2 linked regions of the Danio rerio genome follow. Each later gene encodes a partner of the first gene's protein in a complex. Links are inferred from orthologs where the notes say so. Each region holds a gene or a part of one and is shown in the gene's direction. Other genes may lie near its edges.

Region 1 (16,399 bases):
TGAAAAACATTCCACGTGTAATCTAGAGCAAGTAACACAGTGTGCAATAACAGCCTGACTCCGCCATCATATTCTTGGCTCCACCCACACATATCACAGCTACCAAACTGGCCAACCAAATTCAACTTGAGTGAAAAATTTGCATTGAGGCTAAAATTATTATCATTCCACAAGTAATCTAGAGCGAGAAACGCAATGCAAATTAATAGCCTTGCTCCGCCCCCACAACTATCAGCCCCACCCACAAGTATCACTGCAACCAAATTGGCCAATCAAAATCAACTTATGCGAAAAATTTGCATGAGGTGAAAAACATTTCACAAGTAGTTCAGAATGAGTGACGCAATGCAAATTAACAGCCTTGCTCCACCCCTACAGCTATTAGCGCCACCCACATATATCAGCTTTACCAAACAGACCAATCAAATTCAAGTTAAGTGAAAAATTTGAATTGAGGCTAAAAACATTCCTTGAGTACTCCAGTAAGTGATGCAATGCAAATAAACAGCCTTGTACCACCCCTATAGCTATTAGCTCCTCCCACACTCATTAAACCGACCAATCAAAATCAACTTAAGTGAAAAATTTGCATACGGCGAAAAACATTCTTAGTAATCCAGAGTGAATGAGTCAATGCAAATTAATAGCCTTGCTCCGCCCTTACAACTATTAGCCCCACCCACACGTATCACTGCTTCCAAATTGGCCAATCAAAATCAACCTTAGTGAAAAAATTGCATGAGGTTAAAAAACATTCCGAGAGTAATCCAGAATTAAGGATGCAATGCAAATAGCCTTGCTCCACCCCTACAGCTATTAGCTCCACCCACACTCATCAGCTTTACCAAACAGACCAATCAAATTCAAGTTGAGTGAAAAATTTGCATAAGGTGAAAAACATTCCATGAGTGGTCCAGAATGAGTGACGCAATGCAAATTAATAGCCTTGCTCCACCCCTTTAGCTATTAGCTCCTCCCACACTTATCGGCTTTACTAAACTGACCAATCAAATTCAAGTTGAGTGAAAAATTTGCATAAGGTGAAAAACATTCCACATGTAATCTAGAGTGAGTGATGCAACGCACATTACTGGAATTATTAAAACATTAGCGACACAATGCGATTGGTCACATGACTGCATCACATGACTAAAATGATCATAAATTTCCAAGGCCTCAGTTTTCACCGTCCACACTGAACTCCAAAACACTGCTTCACATTTATCCACTTAGGACAGCGACGTCAAACAGACTGTTTCCTAAAATCTTCGTCTCAGTGTGGACGGAAGGCTGTAGCGGAGAGAAAGATCTGCACTATAACTGAACCCTATCAGTGTGGCCATGGCCTGAGTCTCCTGTCCGTCTCTGTGCTCAGCTTTATCTAGCGCTGCATAAACACACAATTACACTAAACTCTTCCATTCCTGAAGTGAAAGCAAGTCGTGGCCCACACACACACACACACACACACACACACAGTTGCGCAGACAGTGAGCTGACGACTGAAGCCTGGACTCCATCAGCCTGCGGTGCCGCCATGTTTTTCACATTTATTTTCCTTCTCCTGGCCTGAGTTTAGTGTTTGGCAGATCGTTCATAACACGCTTGACTCACTGATTACCAGCACATACCTGAAGCAGTGAGTGTGTGGAACAGACCGCAGGCGCACACACACATTAACACACACACACACACACACACACACAGAAACACTGCTCACTGAATCTCCCACATAGAAATCTAATAAAGGACTCTGTATGCAAATGACACACATGCCATACCCGTTCATATTTGGATTTCATGTTTATAATATACGCAACATATTTTGGGAATATTGACAAATATCTATTGCAATATATATAGTGTTCAGCATAGATGAGTCTCAGATCCCTCTGTTCTCTCCAGGATGCTCTACAGTAATAAATCTGTGCAGATACAGTAGATCAGTCAGTACCAGAGATCACAATCCCACAACAATACACACAAAATAATAACATGCTGGAGGAAAATATGAAATAAGATTTTGTAGTTTGTATATATATTTTTCTAATACCTGGTTTGAAAGTAAAGTCTGATCTTTCTATTCCTGACCATATTATAAAGGATATAACTGATTTATCAAACTCCTTTGTTTAAATGCACCAAAATATACATTGAGAAATTGATGAAAATATTATTTTGTAAAAGTGGGTGTGCTCATTTATGAAGAGCACTATATATTACATATACACTCACCGGCCACTTTATTAGGTACACCTTACTAGTACCAGGTTGAACCCCTTCAGATCTGTCTTAATCCTTGGTGTCAGAGATTCAACAATCTCCTGGAAATATTCCTCAGAGATTTTGCTCCATATTGTCATGATAGCATCACACAGTTGCTGCAGATTTGTCGGCTGCACATCCATGATGCCAATCTCCCGTTCCACCACATCCCAAAGCTGCTCTATTGGATTGAGCTCTGGTGACTGTTGAGGCCATTTGAGTACAGTGAACTCATCGTCATGTTCAAGAAACCAGTCTGAGATGATTGAGCTTCATGACATGCTGCGTTATCCTGCTGGAAGTAGCCATCAGAAGATGGAGACACTGTGCTCATAAAGGGATGGACATGGTCAGCAGCAATACTCAGGTAGGCTGTGGCATTGATGCTCAATTGGTACTAATGGACCCAAAGAAAATCTCCCCCACACCATTACACCACCACCAGCCTTACAGCTGGTCTGGCAGCAACAACCATGCCACGCTCAAAGTCTCTTAAATCCCCTTTCTTCCCCATTCTGATGCTCGTTTTGAACTGCAGCAGATCCTTTTGATCATGTCTACATGCCGAAATGCAGTGAGCTGCTGCCATGTGATTGGCTGATTAGACATTAGTGTTAACGAGCAGTTGGACAGGTGTACCTAATAAAGTGGCCAGTGATTATAATTTAGAAAAAAAAAATTAAACCACTTCAAGTGTTAACTATTATATATATATATATATATATATATATATATATATATATATATATATATATATATATATATATATATGCGTGTGTGTGCTGATTTTAACTCCGCTATCTAATGTGTGAACTTATAAAGAGTTAGCAGAGGCAGACGATCAAACACCATAGAACATTTCCTCCAGATTGAGCCTCAGATTGGTGTGATGGAGTGTAGTTTGAGTGGACTGTAAATATCTAATACGAGGCTCAAGCAGGACAGACGGACTCTGGTTTTGAGCTCCACTGTTGGTTTGATTGATTGCGCATGTGAAAGGGAACAGTTTGTCAGAGCTCTCATATGTTTGACGTCTTTGCTTATTTCTTTCTCATTGCGAGTGTCAAACACACCGTAAGTGAAATAAATGCCTGGAGGAGTGTTTGAGGAAACCTGAAGCCTCATCTGGCAGAAAGCGGAGGCTGATTTCAGGAAAACATCATAGAGGAACATTCTCAATATCGCTGCGTTCCAAACGGGACATATCGCCCTCTTCAGAGTGAAAACAAACATGACTGCCATATTAGAGCACAGCTCCCAACCAAAGTGCTCAAAACAGGCCACTTTGAAGGGCCCTTCTGAGTAAAGGATTGTAAAAATGTTTCTGTCCTGTTTTTAGTCCAAATATCTACAAATTCTTAAATCAAGAAGCCTGTTCTAGTTAAAGCACAACTATTGTCTTGTTTTCAGAAATAATGAGTGAAAATGAAGCAAAATAATCTGACAACGGAGGAAGTGAAATCACCTTAAATCAAAATAAAAAGCAAGATCTTTGGCACCCTCCCGCAATACAAAGTCAATGGAGCGGTTCAGATTGTCAGTCCTCCCCCTCCTGAAACCTGCTTGATCGTCTCATTATTTAAAAAAATGTTTGATCCCTACATCCATCATCCCTTTAAAGCTGTCACTCTCTAGCTAGCGCAAACCCTTTGAAGGGATTAGGGTGTAGGGTTGAGCCCTTCCGAATGGAACGCAGCGTAAATCATTCCAGCACTGATATCGCAGAGTGTGCATCCGCAATACTCACATCAGAGTCTGCAGTGTTCAATCAGGATTACATTTGACCAGAAAACACAGCACAACATTCATGACCAGTGGATTACTGCACATTTATCCACAAACTGACCAACTAGTTTATCATTTGCTGCTGTTTTTAAGGCTTGGGTGACCGTGTGGGCAGCTTTGCTCTACTGCAGCAGTTCTCAAACTTTTTTCACCAAGTACCACCATAATGAGCAGTACTGAAATACAATAGTGTAGTAGGCCTAATTATGCAGCTACAGCACTGCACAGCTCAAAAACCAGGCAGATTAATTACTATTATTAGAAATATGTATTACTGTCAGCCACTTTAATATTATAATAATTATGTACACATTATAAATAGTTTGAACATTACTCACTGTGCTTGCAGACAAAAAAAGATATATATACACACACATACATACAATTTTTTAATACATTTTGAAATATAAGTTGCATGGGCACATGACATTTGTAATTATTTGAAATCTAAATATTAACTTGTATTGTAAATGTATGATTTGGAATTACATATTTAAATAAGAGATTAGCTCTGCTGCTTGTCATTTACAGTAGCCCTGTGTGTCAGATAAGCGAGCGGTTATATGCATATACAGTGTACAGTGATTGACTAATTCATACGTGCAGTATTTCCAGCCTGATCTCACGAGAAGTATTTTACGTTTTGCCAGTTCAGTGGCTAATTTGTACAAATTCCTACGAGTTCAGTCGTGGGAAATTGTACGATTTTAAAAAGGAGGCGGGGCACCTAACCCCACCCCTAAACCCAACCGTCATTGGGGGATGAGCAAATCGTACTAAATTGTACGAATTAGATCGTCTGAATTCATGCGAATTAGCCACTATATAAAAAATTTACGAACTGTTGTGAGATTGCGTTTGTATTTCCATGATTTGGTACAAATGAGATCACATCTTAAGTGAACCATGAAGTTTGCGTTAAACGCGCACTGACAGCTGTTTTCAAGCAGACTGCGGTACAGTTTGCCATCCCTTAGTCTGTGCACACGGACAATAACTAATTACAATCTACCTCTAATCTTCAGGTAAGGTAAAGTCTGAGTCTATGTTCTGTGTCTCGCCTCTTTTACATTTACATTTAGTCATTTAGCAGATGCTTTTATCCAAAGCGACTTACAATTGAGGACAAGGAAGCAATTTACACAACTATAAGAGCAACAATGAAGAAGTGCTGTAGGCAAGTTTCAGGTGTGTAAAGTGTAAGAAGCAAAACATTAGTAATTATTTATTTTTCTGTAGTACAGTTCGCGGTGGAGCCAGAGAGGCAATTGCAGATTAGGAAGGGAAGTGGAGACTAATTAGTTGAGTTTTTCTTGAAGACAGCGAGTGACTCTGCCGTTCTGATGCAGTTAGGGAGTTCATTCCACCAACTGGGCAGATTGAATGCGAGAGTTCGGGAAAGTGATTTCTTCCCTCTTTGGGATGGAACCACGAGGCGACGTTCATTCACAGAACGCAAGTTTCTGGAGGGCACATACATCTGCAGAAGTGAGAGCAGATAAGAAGGAGCAAAGCCAGAAGTCGCTTTGTAAGCAAACATCAGAGCTTTGAATTTGATGCGAGCAGCAACTGGCAGCCAGTGCAAACGGATGAGCAGCGGAGTGACATGTGCTCTTTTAGCTTCATTAAAGACCACTCGTGCTGCTGCGTTCTGAAGCACCTGAAGAGGTTTGATAGAGTTAGCTGGAAGCCCGGCTAGTAGAGAGTTGCAATAGTCCAGTCTGGAGAGAACAAGAGCTTGAACAAGGAGTTGAGCTGCATGTTCAGATAGGAAGGGTCGGATCTTTCTGATGTTATGGAGTGAGAATCTGCAAGATCGAGCAGTTCTAGAGATGTGCTCAGAGAAGTTTAGCTGGTCATCAATTGTTACTCCAAGGCTTTTTACATTTTGGATGCAGTAATGGTTGCCCCGTCCATCTGGATTGAAAAGTTATGGTGTAGAGTCGGGTTGGCAGAAACTTCAAGCATTTCCATTTTCGTGAGGTTCAGCTGAAGATGATGATCTCTCATCCAGTGTGAAATGTCTGACAGGCAGGCTGAGATGCGAGCTGAAACCGAGGGAAACACACCCAAATTAATAAGCTTAAATCTGAGTTAACTAAACTGAAAGCCACGCTGCATTATAAAACAAATAACTTCATATATTGAAAACATGCATTATTTTTCACGACTACGAGCACACATTTAGCACATGTGTAATAATTATTTTAGCAATGATGCAGCGTTTGCAGTAACTGAAATGCCAACACAACAGCACTGGTCTGCAGAAGGGCTTCTCTAGCACGTGTGTATCTGCTCTGCAAGCGCCACGCAGCTCTGTGACTCTGTCACAGTAAACATTCTAAGCACAGCGGTGTAATCGTACGCTTCAGGGAGCAGCCAATGCTATCTGATCACATGAGTCTCGGTGTTATCGTACGTGTCAAAGGGTTAAAAGTGTGTTCATTTTATTTTATTCTTTTATTATTCAGCAATTCTTCCGCGTACCACAAGAAAAAAAGCCCGCGTACCACAGTTTGAAGACCACTGCGATACTGTATTTATCAATGCTTGAGATTGGTTTATCTTATTTTATGCAAATGCACAAAATCCTTGCAATTAATGTAAAATTATGAGTCATTTCCAGAGCCATTTGTTCTTTAATTTAGCCAAAGTATGCTTAATATCGCAATATATATTGCAAAAACATTAAACATAGACACATTTTAAGCATAAATGTACTATTAGTTTATCATCTGAATGTGTTTTCAGGCCGTGTGACTGCATTTCAAACCACTTTACAAATAAAAATGTTGTTTTTAAGTTTAAGAAAAATCAATTGTATGTATGTGCATCTATGGTGAATATACTCCATACAGCAGAGGGCCGCAGCTCTGCACTGTTTTGTTCCAACCCTGCTCCAACACACTTACCTGTAGGTCTCAAACAAGCCTGAAGGACTCGATTAGTTTGATCAGGTGTGTTTAATTAGGGTTGGAACTAAACTGTGCAGAGCTGCGGCCCTCCAGGAACTGAGTTCTACATCTGTGCTATAGAGGACTATTTTATATTTGATTACTGTTTGTGTCTGAATGCTGACAGACTTCCAGAAAACCATGTGTGTCTCTGCTCTACTGTATTCATCAATGCTTGTGATCAGTTTATTATATTTTAAGCAGATGCACTGCTCTACAAGATCATTCCAGCTTATCTAGTTTGATTAATTCTTTCCTAATAGAGTTATTCATTTAATCTAGTGAAAGCATTCTCAGAATATGGCAGAAAAATCAAATATCATAATGTGTATTTTTAATATCACAGAGCCCTAATGCTCATGTGTGAGGTCTGTCGGACGGACGCAGGCTTTTCCTGTGTGTGAACTGCAAGCAGCAGCAAGTTAATAATCTTTTTATTCCCTCAAAACTCTTAATTATTAGACGCGGCAGTGTGCGCTGCGGGCAGCATAATTTGCAGATTACCTGGCGAGTGCGAGCATGTCTTCGCCCGCTGCATACTTTCACATCTACAGCTTTAAAGCGGCTGTTTGTTACCGTTTTTAATTAAATATCATTCCCACCTACTTAATTTCTGTCACCGCACAATAGAAAACAATTAAAGAGGCATTGAAAAGAGCAGGACTGGTGCAGACGTGTTTCTGAACACAAAGACCCTTCACATTCAGCTGGAACAGCGCACAATAAAGTCCCGTCCTCAGGGAACACTTTCACCCATAATCAGCAGCAGAGGGACGGCACGTCTTTCAGTGGTTATTGAGGCTTTTAACAACTCTTTTGATCAAAACTAACAGATAAAACCTGAGTTTACAGATGCTTCGGTAAATGAAATGAACAAGATATTTTAAAAGCCATTAAAGTTAGTTCACCTCATTATTATCAGGTGTTACTGCAGTTTCAGCTACAGTACATGAGCCTCATCTGAACTGAGATGTGTATTAAACTAGTGAAGCAGCAGTGAGTATCATGAAGCTCTGACTGACTCTTCCTCATCTTAATGTAATTTCATCATCATCATCATCATCATTATTATCATCATCATCAGATCCATGTTATTTTCAGGCATGAGGTCCACACCGCCAGCCTCAGGTCGAGCTCCCAGTGTTTCTTCCAGCAGCACCACTATATTCCCTCAGCCAGAGAAAGGTGAGAGTAAACTAACACTAAACCTCTGACTGTACTGAAAATCCAACTGTACTAAATCTCTAACTGTACTGAATCTCAGACTGTACCAAACCTCTGACTGTACTAATTCTCTGACTGTACTGACCATTTGACTACAGGGATACTCTGACTGTTTGGAATCTCCTGCTGTACCACATCTCTTACTTTACTGAATCTCTGACAGTACAGAATTTCTGACTGTACTAATTGTCTTAATTTTTCTAAATATATTAATGTTTCTATTAATATATTAATCTCTATACATACTCTGACTGTACTCAAGTTTAACTGTACTGAATGTCTGACTGTACTGAACCTCTGGTTGTACTTAATTTCAGACTGTACTGAATCTTTGACTTGCTGAATCTCAGCCTGTACCAAACCTCTGACTGTACTGGATCTCCGACTGTACTATATCATGGAGTGTACTGAATCTGACCGTACCAAATTTCTGACTGTTTTGAATCTTCAACTGTATCAAATCTCTGACTGTACCAAATCTCTTACTTTAACTCTTACTGAAACTCTGACTGTACTGAACCTCCGCCTGTACTAAATCTCAGACTATACCAATCCTCTGACTGTACTGAATCTCTTACTTTAACTCTGACTGTACTGAATGTCTGACTGTACTGAACCTCTGACTGTACTGAACCTGACTGTACTGAATCTCAGACTGTACCAAACCTCTGACTGTACTTAATATCCGGCTGTACTAAATCTCATACTGCACTGAATCTCTGACTTACTGAATCTCAAACTGTACTAAATCTCAGACTGTACTGCTCCTCTGACTGTACAAAACATCTGACTGTACTGAATCTCTGATTGTACTAAATCTCAGACTGTACTGAACCGCTGACTGTACCAAACCTCTGACTGTACTGAATCTCCAACAGTACTAAATATCAGACTGTACTAAATCTCAGACTGTATTGAACCTCTGACTGTACTGAATCTCAAACTGTACCAAACCTTTGACTGTACTGAATCTCCAATTTGACTAAATCTCAGACTGTACTGAAGTCTAACTATACTGAACCTCCAACTACTGAACCTCCGACTACTGAACCTCCAACTGTGCCAAATCTCTGACTGTTCTGATTCTCAGACTGGACCAAATCTCTGACTTTACAAAAACTCTGATTGTACTGAATCTCTTACTTTTTCTGAATATACTACTGTTCTGAATCTGCTACTATACAGAATCTCTTACTGTAGTGAATCTCTTTTTTTAATGTCATGTAGTAAATCTTTTACTTTTTCTGAATCTCCTTCACTCAATCTCTGACTGTTTACAACTGTGGTTTGTCTGACTGAACTGAATCTCTGACTGTACTAATCATCTGACTATTTACCACTGTTCAAATGCAACCGTTTATTGTCTGACTGTACTGATTCGCTGACTGTACTGAATCTCTGACTGTACCGAATATCTGACTGTACTGAATATCTGACTGTACTGAATCTCTGACTGTACTCAATCTCAGACACACACAACTGTTTATTGTCTGACTGTACTGATTCGCTGACTGTACCGAATATCTTACTTTACTCAATCTCTGACTGTACTCAATCTCTGATTGTACTGAATCTCTGACTGTACTCAATCTCCTACTGTACGAAATCTCCTACTGTACGAATCTCCTACTGTACTGAATCTCTGACTGTACTGAATCTCCTACTGTACTGAATCTCTGACTGTACTGAATCTCCTACTGTACTCAATCTCTGACTGTACTCAATCTCAGACACACACAACTGTTTATTGTCTGACTGTACTGATTTGCTTACTGAATTTCTGATTGTACTTCAGACCCAACAGGACAGGGTCACCTAGCAACGGCCCTCATCATCGCCATGTCAACCATCTTCATCATGGCCATCGCTATAGTGATGATCATCATGTTCTACATCCTGAAGAGCAAACCGAGCGGACCAGGTCAGAAATACGAACACTCGAGACTACAGTAGCACAACAACACACGGCAGAACATTACCAGATACAGAAGCAGCGCTACATTTAATAGATACAGATAACGCTTCAGATATCACAGTGTGTGTGTGTGTGTGTGTGTGTGTGTGTGTGTGTGTGTGTGTGCGCGCTGGCTCCAGCTGTGCTTATCATCACCTAGTGTATGTGTGTGTGTGTGTGCTGAGCATCACCTAGTGTATGTGTGTGTGTGTGTGTTATCATGTCTGATTCGGTGTGTGTGTGTGTGTGTGTGTGTGTGTGTGTGTGTGTGTGTGTGTGTGTGTTTCTGTTGGCTCCAGTTGTACTGAACATCATTGTAACCCAGTATGTGTGTATTTGTGTATTTAAGTGTGAATTTTAAATGTGCGACTTTGTGTTTGAGAGTAAATATGAGTGTGTGGATGTTTGTGTGTATGAGTGGAAGTGTGTGTTAGGGAGTGTGTGTTTAAATATGTGTCCATGTGTGTTTGAAAGTGTGTGTGTGCTTCGCCTCCACATCTGCAAAATCTCAGTGCTTCTGTAATAATCATTAATGTAACCCAGTGTGTGTGTGTGTGTGTGTGTGTGTGTGTGTGTGTGTGTGTCTCCTGCAGTCTGCTGTTCTGGTCAGCTCATCAAAGCTGTAGAAGCTCAGACAAACATGCAGGAGGAGAAGAAGGAGGCTCAGGGTGAGTGAAAGATCAGTCTCTCCATCCTGCACTTCTGGAATGCTCTTCAGGTTCACACACACACAAACACAAACACACACACACACACACTTGAAAATGCAGGTCAGCGGGGACAGATACACTTGCCTGCATCAGTAATCCAATGCAGACCAGCACACACACACATTCAGACATGCACAGACACAACAAACACACACTAAGACACTCACACACACAAACACAACCCACACACAGTCACACACTCCGGCACAGGACATTTATATCCATAGCTGACACTTTATAATTAGAACCCTGTAACCGTTGACTTTCATGGTGTTTATTTGTCCTACTATTGAAGTCAAGGGTTTCCAGCATTCTTCAAAATACCTTCTTTAGTGTTCAACAGAAGAAAGAAACTTAAAAAAGGTTTAAAACAACTTGAGGGACAGTAAACAGTGAGTGAATTAAAAAAATGTGGGTGAACTGCCCTTTGAAATTTATCATTAACTACAGCTTTTACAATCTATCTAAACCCATCTTAAAGCTCGCACATCATGCTAACACTGCAACGCGGGACACATATTTCAACAAGGAAATGTTAACACATTTCAACATCTACTGCATTATTAAAATCCAAATTCAGGCTAGTCATAATTAATCAATGCACTGTGAGTTAAACATTGAACTAACTGTATTTAGATGAACATTAATATAACCATCAATAAATACAATCAGAGAGGTGTTGTTCATTGTTAATAAATACAGTTGAAGCCAGAAGTTTACATACGCTGTATAAAAAGGCACATAACCATTTGTCAAAAAAATGTCAGATGTTTAATGGGACTTGATTATTTCTCTTTTAGGTAAGTCAGGATTACTATTCTATTTGCTTAATAGCAGAATAACGAGAGAGAGAGAGAGATTATTCTGCCTCTGACACAGCTCAGATGATGGTGTCGAGGTTTTGGAAGTTTCTGATTGGCTAATTGACAACATTTGAGTTAACTGGAGGCACAATAGTATTGAAGGCAAACCTCAAACACACCAAGGTTATTATAGTAAATGAAAACAAAACTACAATGTAAAATATTTGTCGTTTACTGAAATAAAAATAAAGCGAGTTTATGAAGAAACTAAAACTAACTGAAACTGTATTGTAACTAAAATAACTAATTACTAATTAAAACTAACTAACACAAAATTATAGTGTCTTTGTAAATGTATTTAATGTAATCTTACTGGAAGCCGTTTAGAAGTAAATATAATCCGCGCTGCAGGTGTTTGACCCGTACGGCATCTAAGAGTCTGTAATCCTGCTGCCATTGGCCAGATCGAGCCGGTTCTCCTCCAGTCATCCTCGCTGTTGCTCCTGCAACAAAAACAACCAGTGGACATGACAGCAGCACGATGACAGCATTAGATACACTTAAAACTATTACTTTAACATATTTGTGCCCAATAATGGGTTTATTTCTGTATCACCATCACTAACGAATCTTTTTAACCGGATCTTCTAAGTGAACCGGTTAAACAAGTTCACCAAATCGAACTGAATTATTTGAAACGATTTGCGTCTCCAGTAAGCACTTATCCACTATTTACTTTATAACAAGCCTAATACCCCCCTCTGACTCTAAATATCCAATATATACACTGAGTTATTCAGTTATTAGAACAGTAACGTTACACTGAGATCAAATTTGAGAAGCAGTGAACTGATATTACTGCGCATGCGTGATTCAGCAAATTAAACACAAACAGTACAGCCCGCTGTGACTCAACTAAACTTGAACAACTGCAGCGCGGGTAAACCGAGGGCTTAATTAGAAGATCTGGAGAAAAACGAAAGTTTATTTCATAACAGACAATCATAAGTTTAAATAAGTGTTTAAATAAGTGAATCCTGCTTCAGTTGGGCTGCAAAACTTTACTGTAAGACATTTTTCAGATCATGCTGATGTTTTAACTGACTGAAATGACTATTGCTGACTACATAATGAGTCCTGACATCCGCGTTAAAGATCTGAACTTCCCATCACTACTGTGCGTCTAACCTCAGAGCAGCCGTGCACACATACTGTACTGAGGGCTGCTGTCTTGTGGGCTGTTGTATTTGAGTTTGAGGATGGGTAGATGGTTGAGGTAGATGATAGTGGTCATGTGTCCTCTGAATACAGGTTTCAAAACATGTATGGCTGAGTTTTTATAATACAGTATTTATCCTGTTGATTTTGAATCCTGCACCTAACAAATATCCTCACTTAGAAAACAAACTAAAACTAAATCATTTTAAAGTATATAAACTAATAATCATTAGTAAATCTGCCTCTAAAACTAAATAAAACTGACTGAATTGGAAAACAAAAAGTCAAAACAAAATAGAAACTAAAACTAATGAATAACAACTAAACCTTGAAACTCTCTGCTTCCTTGTGTGACAACATGGGAAAATGAAAAGAAATCAGCCAAGACATCCACAAGTCTGTTTCTTCTTTGGGTACAATTTCTAGATGCCTGAAGGTGCCACGTTCATCGGTTCAAACAATCATACACAAGTAAAAACAAGATGGGAATGTCCAGCCATCATAGCGCTCAAGAAGGAGAAGAATTCCTCAAACTGTGTGTATTAACCCCTGAACAAAAGCGAAAGATGCTGTGAAGACGCTGGCTGCAGCGAGTAAGAGAGATTCATCATCCAGTGAAAAGAGTCCTGTACTGACATGTGCTGAGTGACCTCTCAGCAGAGAAGAAGCCATTACTCCAAAAACACCTTAGAAAAGCCAGATTACAGTTAGCTGAATGACACTGGGAACAAGACTGATGTGTGGAGACATGTCCTGTGCTCTGATGGAGCTAAGACTGAACTGTTTGGCCATAATGAGCAGTGTTACATTTGGAGGACAAAGGTGAAAGCGCACAAGCCTAGAACACCATCCCAACTGTGCAGTATGGGGGCGGCAGCATCATGTTGTGGGGTTGTTGAGAAATACTGAAGCAACATCTCAACACATCAGCCAGGACATTACAACTTGGCCACAAATGGCTCTTCCAAACAGACCATGACCCTAAGCACACTGCCAAATGAGTTCACATGTGCTTTAAGGACAGCAGAGTGAATGTTTTGGAGTGGCCATCACAAAGCCCTGATCTCAATCCTATAGAGAATGTGTGGGCAGAGTTGAAAAAGCTTGTGCGAGCAAGACAGCCTACAAATCTGACTCAGTTACAGCAATTCTGCAGGAGGAACGGGCCAAAACTCCTGCAAACTATTGTGAGAAGCTTGTGGAAGGAGACTAAAAACATCTGACCAAAGTTTAAAAGCAAAGCTAATAAATACCAAGGAAATGTTTATAATTCAGCTGAAGTCACATTAATGCGTATGGCAGATGATTTGAGAGCATCACAGGCTGAGCAGAGCGGATGTACGGTGTGATTATGAGTGTTTGATCTGCGCTCAACACTCGTCTAGAGCTGTACAGAAGCTGGTGTACAGTACAGCGTTCATCTCCTGTTTGCTCTCATGCAGGATCATCACTGAATGCTGATTGGCTAACACTTTACAATAATGCTCCATTAGGTCTTGTTAGTTAATGCATTTCTTAATCATACTTCAACATTTACTAATGCATTATTAACATCCAGCGTTAACATTAGTATATGCACCATGAGTTATCTAACATTACATCAATAACATTAACAAATATGCAATAAATGCAGTACTAACTGTTTGCTCAATTTAGTAAATGCATTAATTAATGGAGCATTTATTAAAGCGTTACCGTTGACTTTTATTCCATTAGAAAGCTGTCTGATTTGTAGAATTACACAAATCTGGGATATTAGAGGAATTCATAAATGGAAAGGTTGTGATTTGATTGAATAGTTGATCGCTTCCATTATATGTTCAGTATGGATATTTCTGTTTATTTACATCATTGTGGGCAGATCTGAGATTAATGATCTTCACTGATGTTCAAACCTTGCCTTTGCAGAGAACGTGGTGATCTTCCAGGAGAAGGACGAATTTGACAAACTCAAGCCTTCATCTCCAAAAACAGCCAAAAGGTGAGAGTTAACCAGCTCAACTAACCAGCAGTAACTAACCCGTTTAGAGACATCACAAAGTTTATCAGTCAGTTTAACCGACCTATTAGCCATATCAGTATAACCCGTAAGCCTAGTCAGTCAGATTAACTAACACGTCAACTTCATTAGTCAGATTACCGAACACATCAGCGGTGTCAGTCAGGTTAATTAACTTCAGCTTCATCAGTCAAGTTAACTAACCCAAACCCTCATTAGTCAGTTTAACTAACTCAAAACTTCATCAGTCAGTTTAACTAACCGAAACCTTCATCAGTCAGTTTAACTAACCCAAAACTTCATCAATCAGTTTAACTAACCCAAAACTTCATCAGTCAAGTTAACTAACCCAAACCTTCATTAGTCAGTTTAACTAACTCAAAACTTCATCAGTCAGTTTAACTAACCCAAAACTTCATCAGTCAGTTTAACTAACTCAAAACTTCATCAGTCAGTTTAACTAACCGAAACCTTCATCAGTCAGTTTAACTAACCCAAAACTTCATCAATCAGGTTAACTAACCCAAAACTTCATCAGTCAAGTTAACTAACCCAAACCTTCATTAGTCAGTTTAACTAACCCAAAACTTCATCAGTCAGTTTAACTAACCCAAACCTTCATCAGTCAGTTTAACTAACTCAAAACTTAATCAGTCAGTTTAACTAACCCAAACCTTCATCAGTCAAGTTAACTAACCCAAACCTTCATTAGTCAGTTTAACTAACTCAAAACTTCATCAGTCAGTTTAACTAACCCAAACCTTCATCAGTCAGTTTAACTAACCCAAACCTTCATCAGTCAGTTTAACTAACTCAAAACTTAATCAGTCAGTTTAACTAACCCAAACCTTCATCAGTCAAGTTAACTAACCCAAACCTTCATTAGTCAGTTTAACTAACTCAAAACTTCATCAGTCAGTTTAACTAACCAAAACCTTCATCAGTCAGTTTAACTAACCCAAACCTTCATCAGTCAGTTTAACTAACTCAAAACTTCATCAATCAGGTTAACTAACCCAAAACTTCATCAATCAGGTTAACTAACCCAAACCTTCATCAGTCAGTTTAACTAACCCAAAACTTCATCAATCAGGTTAACTAACCCAAAACTTCATCAATCAGGTTAACTAACCCAAATCAGGTTAACTAACCCAAAACTTCATCAATCAGGTTAACTAACCCAAAACTTCATCAATCAGGTTAACTAACCCAAAACTTCATCAATCAGGTTAACTAACCCAAAACTTCATCAGTCAGTTTAACTAACTCAAAACTTCATCAGTCAGTTTAACTAACCCAAAACTTCATCAATCAGGTTAACTAACCCAAAACTTCATCAATCAGGTTAACTAACCCAAAACTTCATCAATCAGGTTAACTAACCCAAAACTTCATCAATCTGGTTAACTAACCCAAAACTTCATCAGTCAGTTTAACTAACCCAAAACTTCATCAGTCAGTTTAACTAACTCAAAACTTCATCAGTC
Region 2 (16,399 bases), on another chromosome or scaffold:
CAAGATGTAGGATTAGCCGTGTGTGTTTGTGGATATCTGGCTGAGCATCCTTTTATTGCGACCTCAAATGATCGCAGTCACAATAGGGTTATTTTACGTGTACAATAAGTGACAGTTAAGATGCAAATTTAGAAAAGATTCAAGAAAAAAAGAAGAAAAAGAGGCAGAGAGAATGGTAACACTTTTTAGTTCCATTTCTCTCTATTAACTACTGGCTTATTACCTGCCTAATATTAAGATGTTTATTAGTATTTCTGAATTATGATCTTATTCTGCATCCCTAATCCCATACCTAAACTCAACTACCACCTTGGTAATTATAAGCTTATGTCACACAGCTGTCATTTGAAAAAACGAAAGCAAGAAGAGAACCCGAAAATATAGGATCACCACTGTAAACATTGCAACAACATGCTGTGGACTAAAAAACCTCCAGCAGTTGCCACGATTTCAAAGTGCAGCTATCGTGTAAACATCGCTTTAATGTCATTCAGGTAAATTTAATTGAAACAATTAAAAGCACATTAGGCATCAAATCACATCATAATCTCTTTAAGAGTAATACGCTTATGGATGTTTTCACACCTGCCTTATTTAGTTCGGTTGAATCAAAATAGAGTTTGTTTTCCATCTTGGTGCGGTTGGTTTGGGCAGGATGTAGCAATCGCACTCGAGTGCGCACCAAAAGCGGACTAAAAAGCGTACCGAGACCTCCTTGAAGAGGTTGTCTTGGTATGCTTTTAAACGAACCCTGGAGTGGTTTGTTTGTGATGAGAAAATGATCCGAATTAGAACAAACCCAACCGCAAAAAATACTGCACCTTTTTGAACTTATCCAGCTGCCGTAGGCCGAAGCGCTGTAAATTGTGGGATGTGGAGGAAAAATATTAGTTGACAGCGCTTAATCAACAATTTTAAACAGAAGCTGCGTTCCTATTGTCACACTATACACTCATGCACTATGTATTTATTCACTTACACACTCAACAGCATAGTATATATATGTAGTGTTGTCGCAAATGGAGCACTGATGTTTTTTTTACTAAGCGAAAATTTAAACCTTTTCCCAGATGATGTTTGACGGTTACCAAATCAGTGAATTAAATGACCAAACTATTAAATAATACCTGCCATGAGTATAACCGCATTCACCATCGGTAGGCACTTTACTCGCTCTCATAGGAGAATTTATTTCTTTCACCATCCAAAATAAATCAAGTTATCCAACATGTGCGGCCGATAGCTCTGCCCTTTCCGCTACGTGAGCAAAACTGCAGTGTGCATGAAGTGTCCATCATTCCAATAAGTGCATCGTCCGGGTAATTAAAGTGCACTTACTATTTGAGTTTTCCGTGTGAATTCACTGCCTATTCTACAAAATGGCATAGAATAGTGCATAAGTTTGCAATTTGGGATGGTCCTAGAGAGAGAGGGAAAAACATTACCTAATGGATCATTGGTAATATTTCCAGAAATACGCTTCCACCTGAAGTGACTTGCGATGCGCCTTCACCTTTTACAATGCATTAAAACTTTGACCAAATGAATTGAACCACTGATGTGAAAGCACCCTAAAGGCTGATTTATACTTCTGCGTCAAACGCTGGCGTATGCTACGGCGCTGACGCATAGACCTTTGACGTGCACCTCTCAAAAAATGTAACTACGCGTTGCAACGTGCAGCGCTGTTGAGCACGTTCTTAAACAGCACTCATTTGCCATAGTATTCACTAGAAATGACAGTGATTGGCTGTGAAGGTCATCAGTTGCCCACTTTTTACCAAGTGCAAACACAGACACATGAACTCTGGAGCATTTTAAAGTCAGGAAAATCAGTTGATTTATCAGCAGATTGCTCGTCTGTGTTTGCACTCAGTAAACTGCAGTGAAGTCCGGCCGATCGACCGGAGGGTCCCTAGTAAATGCAATAACTATTGAATCCTTATTGTGAAGTGTGACCAAAAGAATTATTAGAAAGTGAAAAAAGGAATCTAAATAGGGAAGGAACAAGGGGAAATGTAGGAAGGTGGAAAGAAATGAAAGTAAAAAAGGAAGAAAGAAAAAAAAGAAAAAAAACATTTGGAAGGATGAAAATCAGGAAGTAAGCAAAAATGAAAAGAAAGAAAATGAAAGGAACAATGTAAAATGTTGGGTTGGAAGAAATAACTGAAGGAAATAAGAAACCTATTACCTAAGAAGACATGAGAGGAAGAAAGAAGGAAAAGGATTGAGAAAGGAAAGAAAAATTTTGAAAGGAAAGAAAAAGGGGAAAAAATTGAAGGAGTGAAGGAATAAGAAAAAGAAAGAATGAAAAGCAATTAAAATAGAAAAATTGATAAAAGAAATATCAGGGAGTGCAAAAATTGTAGGAAATGAGGAAGAAATGGAACAAGAGATGGTAGAAGTGGAAGGAGTTTGAATTGGAATACAGAAGAAAATTTAAACATGAGGAAAGAAGAAGAAAAATAGAAGTGCACATGAAGATATCATAAGAGAAAGGATCATTAAAATGTATTCATAAAAACTCTCTGCTTATGTATGTGTGTGTGTGCGTGCGTGCGTGCTGTGCGTGCGTGCTGTGTGTGTCTGTCTGTCTGTGTGTGTGTGTGTGTGTGTGTGTGTGTGTGTGTGTGTGTGTGTGTGTGTGTGTGTGTGTGTGTGTGTGTGTGTGTGTGTGTGTGTGTGTGTGTTTTAGGCCTACAGTGCTATTACTTTGTTCATATGCGAGATAATGATAAGAAAAGTATTTCCTTTTTAAATAATTCATTAAGTTTATGTGATTGTGTGTGTGTGTGTGTGTGTGTGTGTGTGTGTGTGTGTGTGTGTGTGTTTGTGTGCTGGATCATCCCAATGGAATGTCTTACTGCTGTAAATCCACAGGGTTTCTCATCACACACACACACACACACACACACACATTATGTTCATTATGTTCAGAGTGTTGTCTGTCAGCAGAGAGGTGTGTGCGTTTGTATGCGTGTAGTTTTAGTTTTACATGGTGACATTTATTTTATGAAGAAGTGGATTAGTTTCATTGATCATGTCTTGGCTCGAACTCAAACTCGAGTTAAACTCTAAAATGCTTTGAAACGGCTCCATGAATTAATTTCATTCTTCTGTACTGCATTTCAAAAAACCCTTATTCCTTCATCTTCACAGAGCAGATGGAGGGATGAACACACAAGAGGCCTGGATAGAGTCATTCATCGCACCAAACGTTCAGGTAAAAAAAGAAAACCTTTTGTGTGTGTTGGTATTCATGAAATGTAGAGCTCATATTAAGTGTGCATGTGAGTGTGTATACGTGTGTGTGTGTGTGTGTATATATAAGGCCTGCGAGATTGCCAGCATTTTCACTTTGATGTGGTTTCGAGTTCAAAACGAGATGCATTTCCTTCATTTGATCAGGCTACCTCTCACTCTCCTTCTCCCCCTCGTTCATTCCTTCCATCTTACTCATTATTGGGCTATGCTGTGCGCACCAGTAGTTTATATGTGAAATCCCTCTCCTTTTTTCCACTCTAGTAGCTTCTAACAAACCGATATTGCGCCCCTCTTTTCTCTCTCTCTCTTCCTCTCATTGGCCGGCTGTAGCTTTTAGTTACCTACTCCTCTTTCCACTGCCGTGATTGGCTCCAGTTGGCAGCCGTTTGATTGGCAGGTGGTTTTGGCTTTGATTACAGCTCTGCACTCACTGGCTCTGATCAGGAGCTCTACTGTTTCAGCTTTTTGCACCTGTGTGTGTTGTGTGCCAAAGCAAATACCGATACAACACAGATAACGCGCACGCAGACTACACACACATGCCATCGCAAACGACGCTGGAGCAAGTTCACTGATGAACAAGACACATGCGGTGTATGATATAATCCAGTTTGAAGTTAACAATCCAGATGTGCTAATTATGTGTGTGTGTGTACATGTGTGTGCGTGTGTGTGGATCAGGAAAGCATTATACAGTGGAGCATATGATACACTTTAGGCTCAAGTAAAATTACATTGTTGTACCCTGACATGAATAATACAATAATAAGTATTAAAATGTAACGTATTTGGCATATTTTAGTCTCATTTTTCCTTTACCTCTGTTGCGTTGCATTGCAATAGCTGTAATCTGACTGCAGAAAAGTGACTGCTGTGAATCTATGTGTCCTGAATTGTGTTAATAGTGCATGGAGTTCATCAGAAATAAAATGATGTATCAGTTTACTGTCTGGATTGGCTGTGTCACATTGCACCAACTACGTCATATCTAGAAGGAATCACTGATCACTGTGGAATCTGTTGTTTTTAGTGTTGTGTCATGCTTCTCTTTTCTAGTGTAGTTGGGTTTCCTGTATGGCATGAAGCAAATGCTTTCAAAGTTTGCAAAAAAAAGTCTAGGGGCTCTATTTTAATGATCTACGCACAAAGTCTAATAAATTAAAGGTGTGTCCGAATCAGCTTTTGCTATTGTAAGGATGGAAAAATACGCTTTGCGCCCCGGCGCATGGTCTAACAGGGTTGTTCTTATTCTCTTAATGAGTTCTGGGTGTGTTTTGAGCATAACATGCATTAAACCAATCAGAGTCTCATCTCACATTCCCTTTAAGAGTCAGTTGCGTCACACCATGGTGCATTTGCTATTTACATGACAGACTTTGTAAGAGGAAAAATTAAATGCTTAACTAGCGAGAAAACAGTTCAACAGACCAGAACGAGACTAAAGAATGAGCCTCCTCCATTTGGCCTCTTTACTTCATATTTCTTTTACTCTTTACTCCTTTACCTTCATGGAAAAGGAAATGGTATTATAAGCACTGCACTGAAAACATTCATCAGCCTACATATTTAATTTTGTTATGTTAAGTGCCAAGATTTGTTTCAAAACTATTTCTATATTCAGTTTTAATTTCCAGCAAAAGAATAAATCAACAATAATGAAGTGTGTTCAAAAAAACTGAGCTATATTGAAACAAACGTCCTATTCTCATGCCCCATATGCTGATGCATACATCTCCAAAACTCAACAGGGGGACAAATCTAAGCTTGTTTTTATTCAAACAAATATAAATATGCAGATAATAAATAATACAGCTAATAATAATAACATTATTCAAATTGAAATAAACTGAAAAAGCCCCCCGACATGAAGAAGGCATTGATGCAGTGTTTTTTTTTTTTTATGCTGGTCTGAAAATAACAACAAATCGCACCATACACGTCTTGCGCCTTATTGCGCCTGTTGTTTGATAGGGCACTACATTTCAAATGCGAACTAGGTTTTTTTCCATCTAGAGTGATTGTAGTAATGGTGGAGACAGCTGATTAGTCACATGGGTGTAATGTTCACTGTGTCAAAATGTATTATTATTTGCAACACTTTTTCGCACACGTCCAAAACCACCTCAAGCAAGCCTAAAAAAAATTTTGTGAATTAAAGGATTTTTGGCGCATTAAAGAAAGTGAATACAACACACACTTTAATGAGTTGATGGCATGCATTCCTAAAAAGAGAATTCTAAAAATGTCATCAATTGTAATAATAAAAAATTCATTTTGTTTAAGCTACTATAACAATGCTGTGCAATTTCAGTATTGTGATTCCATCAGCAGTTTTCATCTAGTTTGACTCATTATATAAAAAAAATACACCATTATTAATATGTCTCAAAACAAAGTTACATTTTAGGTTACAGTGTTACAGTTACACTCTCGTTTCACTTTTTCTGTCCGAGTTCATAACCTACAAATGAGAGTATAACTGCACTTACTGTAATTACACTGTTGCAAAAAAAAAAGAATAGAAAGCCTTAGGGCGGTTTGTATTGTTTTACCACCATAAATTGTCGCGAACAGCCCCATCGCACCGCTAGACAGTTGTTCTATATTACCTTGTGGTAATGCGAGCGCGTGTGAACGGTCAAATCCTTCTTGGCCAAAATGCCCGTTCTGGCAAGTTATCAATGCAAACACAAAAGGCAATTATTGTGTTTCAGGGTTTACTGAGAAAAGCACACTTGGCTTTACCCTTAGAAGTAATCTAAGCACATTTACATGTATTCATAGGTGAATCACAACGCTGTTCAGTCTTGAACTCTGCAGATACAGCATGCTTTTAATAATCCGAGCTTAAATCTCTGTATATTTGACAGCAGTGCATGGATGTTAAGAAATCCATAACTTACTGGAATATAGATGTATAGGATTTTGCATGCGGCTCTTATGTGTGTGCTGAAGAATACAGACCTCACTCAACGCTGTGTTTTGAACATGTTTTGAACAGCGTGCGCGCACAATATAACTCATATTTTACGTGATTTTTATGACTTGGTTCTAATTCTGTTAAACTACATTTCCATGAAATGTTGACAACCCGTTTTAATTGATTAGATTCTAGTATAAAATCAAAGCATTTAGTTTTGATGCACAAGTTGCTCCATCTACTGCCAAATAGTGTGTGAGTGCCTGTGTGTAATTCAATAAGGAAGCCATTTCTAATCCATCGTTGTGATCAAAAAGTCATGCCGTCTCCTTCCCAATTCACAGATTCAAGGGTCAAAACACTTGCACATGGACATAGACAAACTCACTCACTTTGTGGCCTCATAAACATGCACTTTGTGAATGTACAGCTGGTGTTCGGTGTGTTTGTGTGTGCAGCTGCATGTTTGCTGTGAAATATGGTTCCAATATTGTCTGTCTTTGATGCTAATTTGTTCCATTCATTAAAGACTTTTAACACTCGTTCGTTTTTTTCTCCCATTTAAAACAAACACAGACAAACCCACCGTCAAGGAGCCCTCCCTATGAATTCTTTGTATACATTCACACGTGCACACATGCATACCAGTTTTATGGATTTCTATTTTAGCCAGTAAAACTCACAATACTGTGCTTGTCTGATTAAATTAAGCATTACTGTGATTTGTGATCATTTAGAAAAATACTCATGAAAGATTCTTACCTCTAAATTGTCTCAAATGTAGTCATAAGCTCATTGTCCTATTGCTTTTCTTGTGTGATCTCTCTCTGAAGCTCACCATCACCACCAGAGGGAGTTCATACACTGGTTAAATCACTGCTGTAAATTTACAGGATCAATTATCTCACAAACCCAGTGATTACTAATATGTAGGGTGATGTTTAAATTATGTTTAGCAAATTGATGTGGATTAGCTGGCTAAATTAATACACTGTTGCCACACAACTGTGTTTAAACACAGTGTTTTGTGTTTTTGCATAATAGGTCCCTTTTAAATCATTTATTTTGGGGTATATTGTGGTTGATTTATGCAGTATTCATTTTTTTCAGTTATTTTTTCTTTAGCTTAGTCCCTTAATTCTTCAGGGGTCGCCACAGTGGAATGAACAGCCAACTTATCCAGCATATGTTTTACTCAGTGGATGCCCTTGCAGCTGCAACCCAACACTGGGAAACACCCATAAATTGTCATTCACAGCCAATTTAGTTTATTCAATTCACCTATAGCGCATGTCGTTAGACTGTAGGGAAAACTGGAGCACCCGGAGGAAACCTACACAAGTACTAGGAGAACATGCAAACTCCACCTAGAAATGCCAACTGGTCAAGCTGGGACTCGCACCCGCGACCTTCTTGCTGTGAGGCGACAGTGCTAACCACTAAGACACTGTGCCACCTTTATACAGTTTTTTATATATATATATATATATATATATATATATATATATATATATATATATATATATATATATATATATTTATTTTTTTTTTTATTTTTTTTTTTTTTTAGTTGAAATAAATTATTATAAATTAGTTGTCTGCGCTACAGTGGCGTGATATTTACAGACTACAATACTATCAACATTAATGTTTGAAGAATGTGCAAGCTGACTATCATGATGATGTCGCAAACTTTGCAAAAAATGAAGCGTTCTTAAAGCATTCACTGCATGATGAAGCTATTATAAAGCTTAACTCAAGAGAGAGAGAGAAAACCCTGTATTGTTTTTTAGTAATAAAACGAGTTTTTTTTTTTCCCAAACTTTAGTTGTAAACATGATTAAAGAATATGATTTTTTTTTCTTTTAATTGTTTTAACAAAAAGTTAATATTGTATTACATTTTAGACACAATATAGTTTTTTGTCAGTTATGTCTGTAATCAATTCATAAAGCCAATCGCTTCATTTATAACAGATCATTTTAAATTTAGTGAATCCCTCATTGAAACAGCCTTGCTACCACTTGCATGCAGTTTAGTGTATTTATTTTTAAACACAGGCCTAAACTAGCCAATGTATCTTTAGTTTTATTGTCAGTTCCTATAAATGTTTGCATTATAAATTTATTAACGATAAATGCAAGGCATACAGAGAATTGAAATTGTGTTACTCTCAGACACTAGAAGCCTACATATAACACAAAACACCATTCATTTATTTTCCTTTGGCTTTGTGCCTTTAGGGGGCTCGCCACAGCGGAATGAGGTGCCAACTTATCCAGCATATGTTTTAAACAGTGAATGCCCCTCCAGCTGCAACCCAGTACTGGGAAACACCCATACACAATAGCGCATGTCTTTGGACTGTGGGGGAAACCAGCCCAGCAGGCACAGGATGTCAACATGACGTTAGATTTACGTTGTACCCCAATGTCATGGGGACAATGCATTTTGTTTGGAAATGAAAACCGGGTTGACATCAGATCCCAACGTGAGGCGGACGTCAACGTCCAACCTAAAATCAACCAAACGAGATGTTACAGCTTGACGTTGTGTGGAAGTTACCACTATGACATCTACCAGACATTTGATTTTGGTTGCCATACCTGACCAATAAATGTCCGTATTTAATGTCAATATGACTTGGTTTAAGATGTTGGCTCAACGTTAGATTCTGATTACTTTCTAACACAACCTAAAATCAACCAAATATCAACGTCATTTGATGTTGTTTGTGGAAGACAGAATAATGTTTGTTGTTAGACGCTGGCTCAACAGATTTTTGGTCACCTGACGTTACGACTTAAATCTAACCTAATATTAACGTCTTGTGATGTTGTGTGGCTGCTGGGAGAGCACCCGGAGAAAGGCCACATGAACATGGGAAGAACATGCAAACGCCACACAAAAATGCCAACTGACCCAATCGGGACTCGAACCAGCGACCTCCTTCCTGTGAGGCAACAGTGCTAACCACTGAGCCCAAAACACTATAGAAAGACTGTAAAAATATACATTCATTCATTTTTTTTTTCGCCATAGTCCCTTTATTAATCTGGGGTCGCCAAAGCGGAATAAACTGCCAATCCAGCATATGTTTTTTGCAGCGGATGCCATTCCAGCCAAAACCTTTAAAAATATACACAAATATGCAAATAAATACAATTTTTGAGAAAAATTTTGAGAAAAATACAGGATACAAGAATTCTGTTTACAATTAAGGGCAAATAGCCACAGCCCCAATGAGACTTTTCTACAAGCTGTTAACATGACAGAGCTCAAGGATCAGTTATTGTATACAAACAAGCAGGAGAGGTATGCTGTACATGTGCTGTAATGAGTAAGAAGCAGTCTGATGTTGAGATCTGTCAATATTGCACACCATTAGTCTGTGCTTTTTGTTTTTCTTTGAAATTCACAAAAGTGTTAAAAATAGACTCAATTGAATACAAAATCAAGACTTAATTGATCAGCTATGTTAAACCCTCCACTTTTCATGGCCAGGGAAAGCGCAGTGTTGGTTGCACCTGGCATTTGCAGCTGCTTGAACTGAATTGCAGCTGGCATGTGTAAAAGATGCAGGGTTTGTGTTGAAATAACTGTCCGCTGAGTTCACTCCTGATTGTTTTCTCAAGAAGACGGGGAGCTCTGCAGAGCGCCACTGAAGGCAGGTCAAGTTCTTTGCATGCTTATTCTGTGTGTCATGTTTGGTTTTGGTTGTTCGTGTTTGATTTCATATAAGTGCATATTGGTCTTTCTTTCAACTCTAGTTGATTTTCATATAATGAGAAAAAAAGAACGATTACAGGAAAAGATTAAAGGCAGCAAGTTGTTTGTCTCCAGTTTTGATATTCTGTGTTTTGAGAAAAAGAGATATCGCGTGCGAAGCCCACCAGACAACACAATGAAAGCGGCAGTCATTTACAAATGAGCTGAAGTAGTTTTATTACGAAAAAAAAAGACCCCCGAATACTAGCCAACACAAACACAAGAGTGACCTCAGGCCTTAGGAACACAGATCCGTCTCCTGAGAGTTTATGTGTGTGCGTGTGTGTGTGTGTGAGTGTATGTGTGCTCGTTTTTAAATCCCAGTGAGGACTTAAACCTGAATGCACACACTCAAGGGAACTTGTAGCACAGTGGGGACTTAAATTGTTGGTCAATTTGGGTAGGGGGATAGAAAATACAGTCTGTACAGTATGAAAGTCATTATCTCTATGTGAAGTCCCCTGTGCGTGTGGGTGTTTACCCTAGACTTTAGCTATAAAAGTCTTTGTCCTACTTGTTCATCACTGATAAGCTCTGATTATACAAATGTAGATTTGCTTGTGTGTTTGATCGGTTGTATTATAGATTGTTCATTCACATATGTTATCAACATTATACATGTGGATGTTAGAGGATCCAATGCTGCTTTAGTACTGAAATGTGTGTGTGTGTGTGTGTGTGTGTGTGTGTGTGTGTGTGTGTGTGTGTGTGTGTGTGTGTGTGTGTGTGTGTGTGTGTGTGTGTGTGTGTGTGTGTGTGTGTGTGTGTGTGTGTGTGTGTGCGTGTGCGTGTGCATGTGTGTATTTGTAGACAGCAGCAGAAGCAATTGTCCTTCAAATTACACATGGGTTTGTTTTTCTGTGGTCATGTGAGCGTCATTATCAATTTAGCCACTTTGAAGCAAATAAACCATCTCTTGGAATAAATCATCCGCTTTTTCTGGAATCTGAAACAGGATTTCAAGAGGAACATTTTGTTGCATGTGTGATTTGTGAATGTAAAATGATACATTTCCAACTGATTGTCTTTCTTCCTTCTGCTTATTCCTCATCCAGAAACTAATGGAAAAAAGAAAGGCGAGCGAAAAAAAGGTAATTTCATCATCCTCTCGCTGTTATTTGAAAATTGAGTGGCAGTTTTAGGAGCTTTGTTTTGCTTCTCATCAGTTGTTTCTAAGTGCTTTCAATGTTTCAGCTTATGGGAGACTGATCTTGCTTTCCTTTCTCTCTCTCTTTATGTCTTTAGGCAAGAAAGGGCCCCCTGGTGCTCCTGGACCTCCGGGGCCACCTGGTCCACAGGGTCCACCTGGAATACCAGGGATCCCAGGAATTCCAGGCAGCAACGCCATGGGTCCCTCTGGCCCACCCGGCCCTCCTGGGCCACAAGGACCACCTGGACCACAAGGACCACCTGGACCTCAGGGACCTTCAGGTTAAGACTGACACCTGCCTCTACATACAGTCAAAGCGAGCACTTCACATCTAGAGTGAAGCAGCAGAGCAAAATCAGTTTAAACCATGGGTCTCAAACTCAATTCCTGGAAGGCCGCTGCTCTGCACAGTTTTGCTCCAACCCTAATCAAACACAGCTGATCCAAATAATTAAGTTGTTCAAAAGAGTCTCAAACCCCTTGATTATTTGGATCAGCTGTGTTTGAGACCCATGGTTTAAATGATGGGGCTGCATTGCAGTGCCGTGTTTTTGTAGTCCATAGGAATTCATTGTTTAAAATTTTCAATTTAGTTGTTTCATTTTTGCCATTTATAATAACAGGATATAAGCTAAAATGATTGGGAAAGGTTTGTGAGCTGGGACATGAACTCAGGACTCCAGAAGCACAGTGGCTCTATATGTCGGCACACTACCCACAAGGCTATCAGTGCCGATTTTTTGTGTTATTCTAAGCATGTTATTTTGTAGTTTAATCATTTTTGAGACCAAGATGTATTTCACTAGTTTTGTTCCAGTTTTGATATAGTAGAATCCTCTTTATAATAAAAATAAATATAGATTAAGTAAGGAATAATGTACATCCTGCTGGTTTTTATCACAGAACAAAACCTGACCAGCTTATCAAAATCCCAGCATGAGGAGAAACGCATTACTCTGTTACTTGACAGAACAGCGAGATACAAGACATTGATCTGAGCTGTAATCATTTATTAGCCATTTAATTAAATATAAAGCTATTTATAAGTATCTAATTGAGCCTGTTTAATTGGTTATGCTATCAGGGGAAAAAGCATTCATTTTGACCAAGTTTTCCAGAGAGCCATGTAATAATCCTTGTTAGAAAAACAATTGTTTTTCCATTCAGGAACAAAATGCACTGACCCAGTATAATAATAGAGATGCCAGTTCAAGTTAAAGTTGTGCTTTTTATTGTCATTCCGCTACACATGTAGATATACAGTGGAATGAAATGTTGTGTCTTGCAGGACTACAGTGCTACATAAATAAACATAATCATAATTCTAAACACAACACTGGACGTATTTTAAACCTATATATAACTAACATATCAAAGTGGTAATCTAACTATGCTAACTACTAACTATGCACATTCTGTAAATACACACAACCTAAGACAGACTATACAAGTACATAGACAGAACAATATTGTGTAAAAGAAGTATTTTAAGGTTGAAGTAAACAAGCAGTGCAACATGATTTGTGATCAAGAAGGTAAAATGTCATATTCACTACTTTTCTTCAAGAAGACATAAAAGAAAAATATATATATGTAAATATACAATGTATAATAAATATCAAAACTCCAAATGGGTTGTTTTGAACTGTGTGCTAAAAACGATACATCTTGTATTTCTCGCATTCACAACTGCTTACATTTGGTTTTAAATAGCCCAAACGTTCACACATTTGCACTTAAAAGCACATGGAAATGATAAACCTGTTGTCTGAAACAGTCGTGTAAAATCCATCACTTGTCCTGAATGTCTTTCACGCTGGTCATCAGTGTTTTGTTCAGCTCTGCTAGTTGTAAAGATGTGTGGAAGCCTTCACTCCTGCTGTGAAGGGATTATACACAAAACAGCTTTGACATTTACAATTACATGATTCAAAGTTTATCACAATAATTTGTCACTTAACAGACACTAAACCCATCTAATTTTCCCCTTCCCCTTGTGTTAACAGGTGGTGAGAAAGGCAAACACAGAGAGGCACAGGTATGTGTGTTCATCTCCACAGACACACTGCACATGACTCCATATAAAAGAGATGATATTAGGGAGTGTAGATTAAAGGTCTTGTGAAATGCTTTAAAATGTGCATTTTTATTCGATGTTTCAAGTAATCTCAACCAAAACATGAATAGAGGGTGGGACATTGTGTAGCTCCTCCCCTTTAAAAAAAAAAACAGCCAATAGAGTTTTATTTCATCACCACTCTGCCTGTAAGAATGGTTTAGCCTAAGCGCATCAAATGAAAAGCAAAAGAGAAGCGTCTTGAAGGGGGTGGGGCATGTCATATACTAGAGAGCATTTAATTTGTTATGATGTGATAAGAAACTAGTATAGGTTGTTGTGAATAAAACCATTGATCCATTTAGGTGAAAGTGACAAACTACAAACTTTACATATCTATATCAGTTTTATATCTTCTATATGTGAATTTTGTCACTATTTTGGAGCATACTAGCATAATACTGATATTAACATAAAAAATAACCTTAGTTTAATTTCAGGGGACCTTTTATGGACACAAGCACATTTTCATCATGCTTTTCAGAGTGTGCGCAAAGATATAATAGATTTTTTAATGTGTTTGATGTTTCTGCAGCCAGCTGTGGTGCATCTTCAAGGTCAAGAAACCACTATCCAAGTGAAAGAAGGTAAGAGTTAAATAATGATCCTTCTCATAAAGAAATGCTTTTTTGTTTTTGTTTTGACTTCTTTGTATGAAGGGCTCAGCTGTAAGGATGGTCCACTGGCCATAATATGTGTACTTTGTTAGAAATGTATATTTCATGGAAAAAGTACCAGTCAGACGTTTTGAGTCAGAAATTTTTTCTTTAAATAAATACTTTTACACAGCAGTGACATATGTGACCCTGTGTCATAAACTTATTTCACAGGTACATTACAATATAAAGTAGATATTTATTAAGAATATATTTTGTGAATGTCCTACTGTGAATATATAAAAAAAAGCATAATTTGTGATTCGTCATAATTTATACTGCTATGAAGTAGGAACATAATTGGGGCAATTTTAAAAGAATTTTCTAAAAAATAAAAAATAATAAAAGGAGATTTTAAAATTCATGTGATTCCAGATTTGTCTCATCTTAACAGATCATACATCAATCTTAAGGTTATTTATGTAACAGGGTGTCTTCAGGGCCTAATAAAAGTCTTAAAATATCTTACATTTCAAAAATAGAATTTTAGGCCCTAAAAGTCTTGAATTCACTGAAATATTGTGTTGGTCCTGAATCATTTTAAACAGGTCTTAATTTTCCTCTGTCCACGTAAAGTCACCTAATCGGGCCAACACACATCCAGTCACCACCAATCCATCTCAATAAAACCTTTAACAAACATTTATTTATTAACTCTATATCCCAATATGGTTTAATTATCATCCTTACAATGACATTTGTTTATAATGTTTTTAATGTTTTAACTGGGCCAGAAAAAAATGTAAATCTGAAATTTCATTCCCAATGTTCTTAAAAAGGTCTTAAAGTCTTAGATTTGACTTGATGAAACCTGCAGAAACCCTGTATTAAGCTTTTGTGTGATTGAACCAAGTTCACATATTAAATTTGAAAAAATAAACACTAATAACGTTTTTTTAGAACTTTCTGCTCACATAAAAATTACAAACAGAAATTTGTGTCAGTTTCCACTGATAATTGATCGTTTATTCCATTCATAATAACATCAGATGTTTTTTAAATACCAAATCTGCATATTAAATTATTCAGATTCTGTCACTCTAATGACTGAAGTAATGATGCTTTGAATCACAAGGATACACTTTGAAATACTTTAGCATAAAGATGTTTAATATATGAAAAATATTTTAATAATAGTGTAAATAGTGTAATACTGTATTATAATAAGAGTGTAAAAGGCATTTTTCTTTTTTTAAAGTTTATTGATCATTGAAAATTAGAATTTTTTATGAAAATGTCAGTTTATATTAAAAAGCTCTCAACAGTTGAGCCCTGGTGTGTGTGTGTGTGTGTCGCTACAGTCACAACAGATGATTGAGTATTTACTGGTGTCTGTCTGTGAGATTTGTCAGAAGGTGTGCTGAAGAATTGGAGGATGATCTCGATCCACCAGAGAGTGTTTAAAATGCACTCGCGCTCTGGAGAGCTGGAGGTCCTACTTGACGGAACATACTTTATATATAGTCAGGTAGAAGTGAGTACAGTCCCTGGACTCTACTGCTTATACACACACACACACACACACATACACATATACAGCATGCGTTTCACAAATATACCACAGCAACATTAAAAGCCCCAATGCGCTTTGTGTGTGTGTTTGCACCAGGTATATTACCTGAATTTCACCGACATTGCCAGTTACGAGGTGATGGTGGACAAAACTCCGTTCTTACGCTGCACCAGAAGCATCGAAACCGGCCAGCGCAAGTTCAACACCTGCTACACAGCCGGAGTGTGTTTGTTACGAGCTCGTCAGAGAATCTCCATTCGCATGGTATACGAGGACACCTCCATCTCCATGAGCAACCACACCACCTTCCTGGGCAGTATCCGGCTGGGGGACGCCCCGTCTGCAGGACACACCTGATACCAAACCTGAACACATGCACAGATCAGTACCCAAAACACCCTCTGTCAGCCCTTACACACCAAAGCAGACTTTAAAAAAAGTTCTAGAAAACTGGTTTATGTGACTAGATGAGCTGAGAGACTATGTGTGTGTGTGTGTGTGTCTCAAATAGACTCAAACACACAGACGCACACACGTGCGCATGGAAGAAGTGAAGCTGCAGTGTTTTCAGGGACTGGAACTGCAAACAGAAGTGTTTATTTTTCTTCCAGTGAGAAACTCTACTGTGTTTCTATGCAGCAGACACTCAATCTTTACATTCAACAGCACACGCATAGCGAACCTGTGTACCAGTCTATTCTAAATAAGCACTGATAATGGCATTGTATTTAAAGCAGAATATCTATGTTCAGTTATCTCTCATCTTTTACACACAGTCAAGGATGTACAGTACCTGTTTTTAAGTCACAGCGTTCGGGACAGGATAGTGATGTTCAGCTTGATTTGCTCGTTTGGATTGGTTCTTTTACGCTTTATCTCTGTGCAGATGTTCAGGCACTGAATTTGATGGTTCCTTCATAATGCTTTTTTTTAGTATCCCTCATCATTCTGAATATGAAATACCCTACATCTTCTGTAGGGGGCAGCAGCGCTCCTCAACAGTAGATAAAGG

What was found.
Region 2: the proteins of edar (region 1) and eda are in contact, whole or in part, in a crystal structure (PDB 7X9G), measured with the Homo sapiens proteins. The link is inferred for Danio rerio from reciprocal best matches to the Homo sapiens genes EDAR and EDA. Residues at the interface, in NP_071731.1 of Homo sapiens: Glu55, Pro56, Tyr57, Leu58, Lys78, Ile86, Arg88, Arg89, His90, Asp92, Glu94, Gly95, Phe97, Val134; in NP_001390.1 of Homo sapiens: Gln256, Ser258, Ala259, Gln261, Asp265, Asp273, Arg289, Tyr310, Tyr311, Lys340, Thr341, Tyr343, Ser370.

The regions. Positions count from the first base shown.
Region 1 is NC_133184.1:58,410,473-58,426,871, forward strand, and holds part of edar (tumor necrosis factor receptor superfamily member EDAR), read left to right. Parts: intron 1-8,088; coding exon 8,089-8,189; intron 8,190-10,023; coding exon 10,024-10,149; intron 10,150-10,775; coding exon 10,776-10,850; intron 10,851-14,821; coding exon 14,822-14,894; intron 14,895-16,399. UniProt on the Homo sapiens protein: Receptor for EDA isoform A1, but not for EDA isoform A2. Mediates the activation of NF-kappa-B and JNK. May promote caspase-independent cell death.
Region 2 is NC_133180.1:37,382,669-37,399,067, forward strand, and holds part of eda (ectodysplasin-A), read left to right. Parts: intron 1-3,159; coding exon 3,160-3,223; intron 3,224-11,007; coding exon 11,008-11,043; intron 11,044-11,197; coding exon 11,198-11,383; intron 11,384-13,108; coding exon 13,109-13,140; intron 13,141-13,753; coding exon 13,754-13,805; intron 13,806-15,217; coding exon 15,218-15,342; coding exon of another isoform or gene 15,343-15,348; intron 15,349-15,483; coding exon 15,484-15,744; 3' UTR 15,745-16,399. UniProt on the Homo sapiens protein: Cytokine which is involved in epithelial-mesenchymal signaling during morphogenesis of ectodermal organs. Functions as a ligand activating the DEATH-domain containing receptors EDAR and EDA2R. May also play a role in cell adhesion.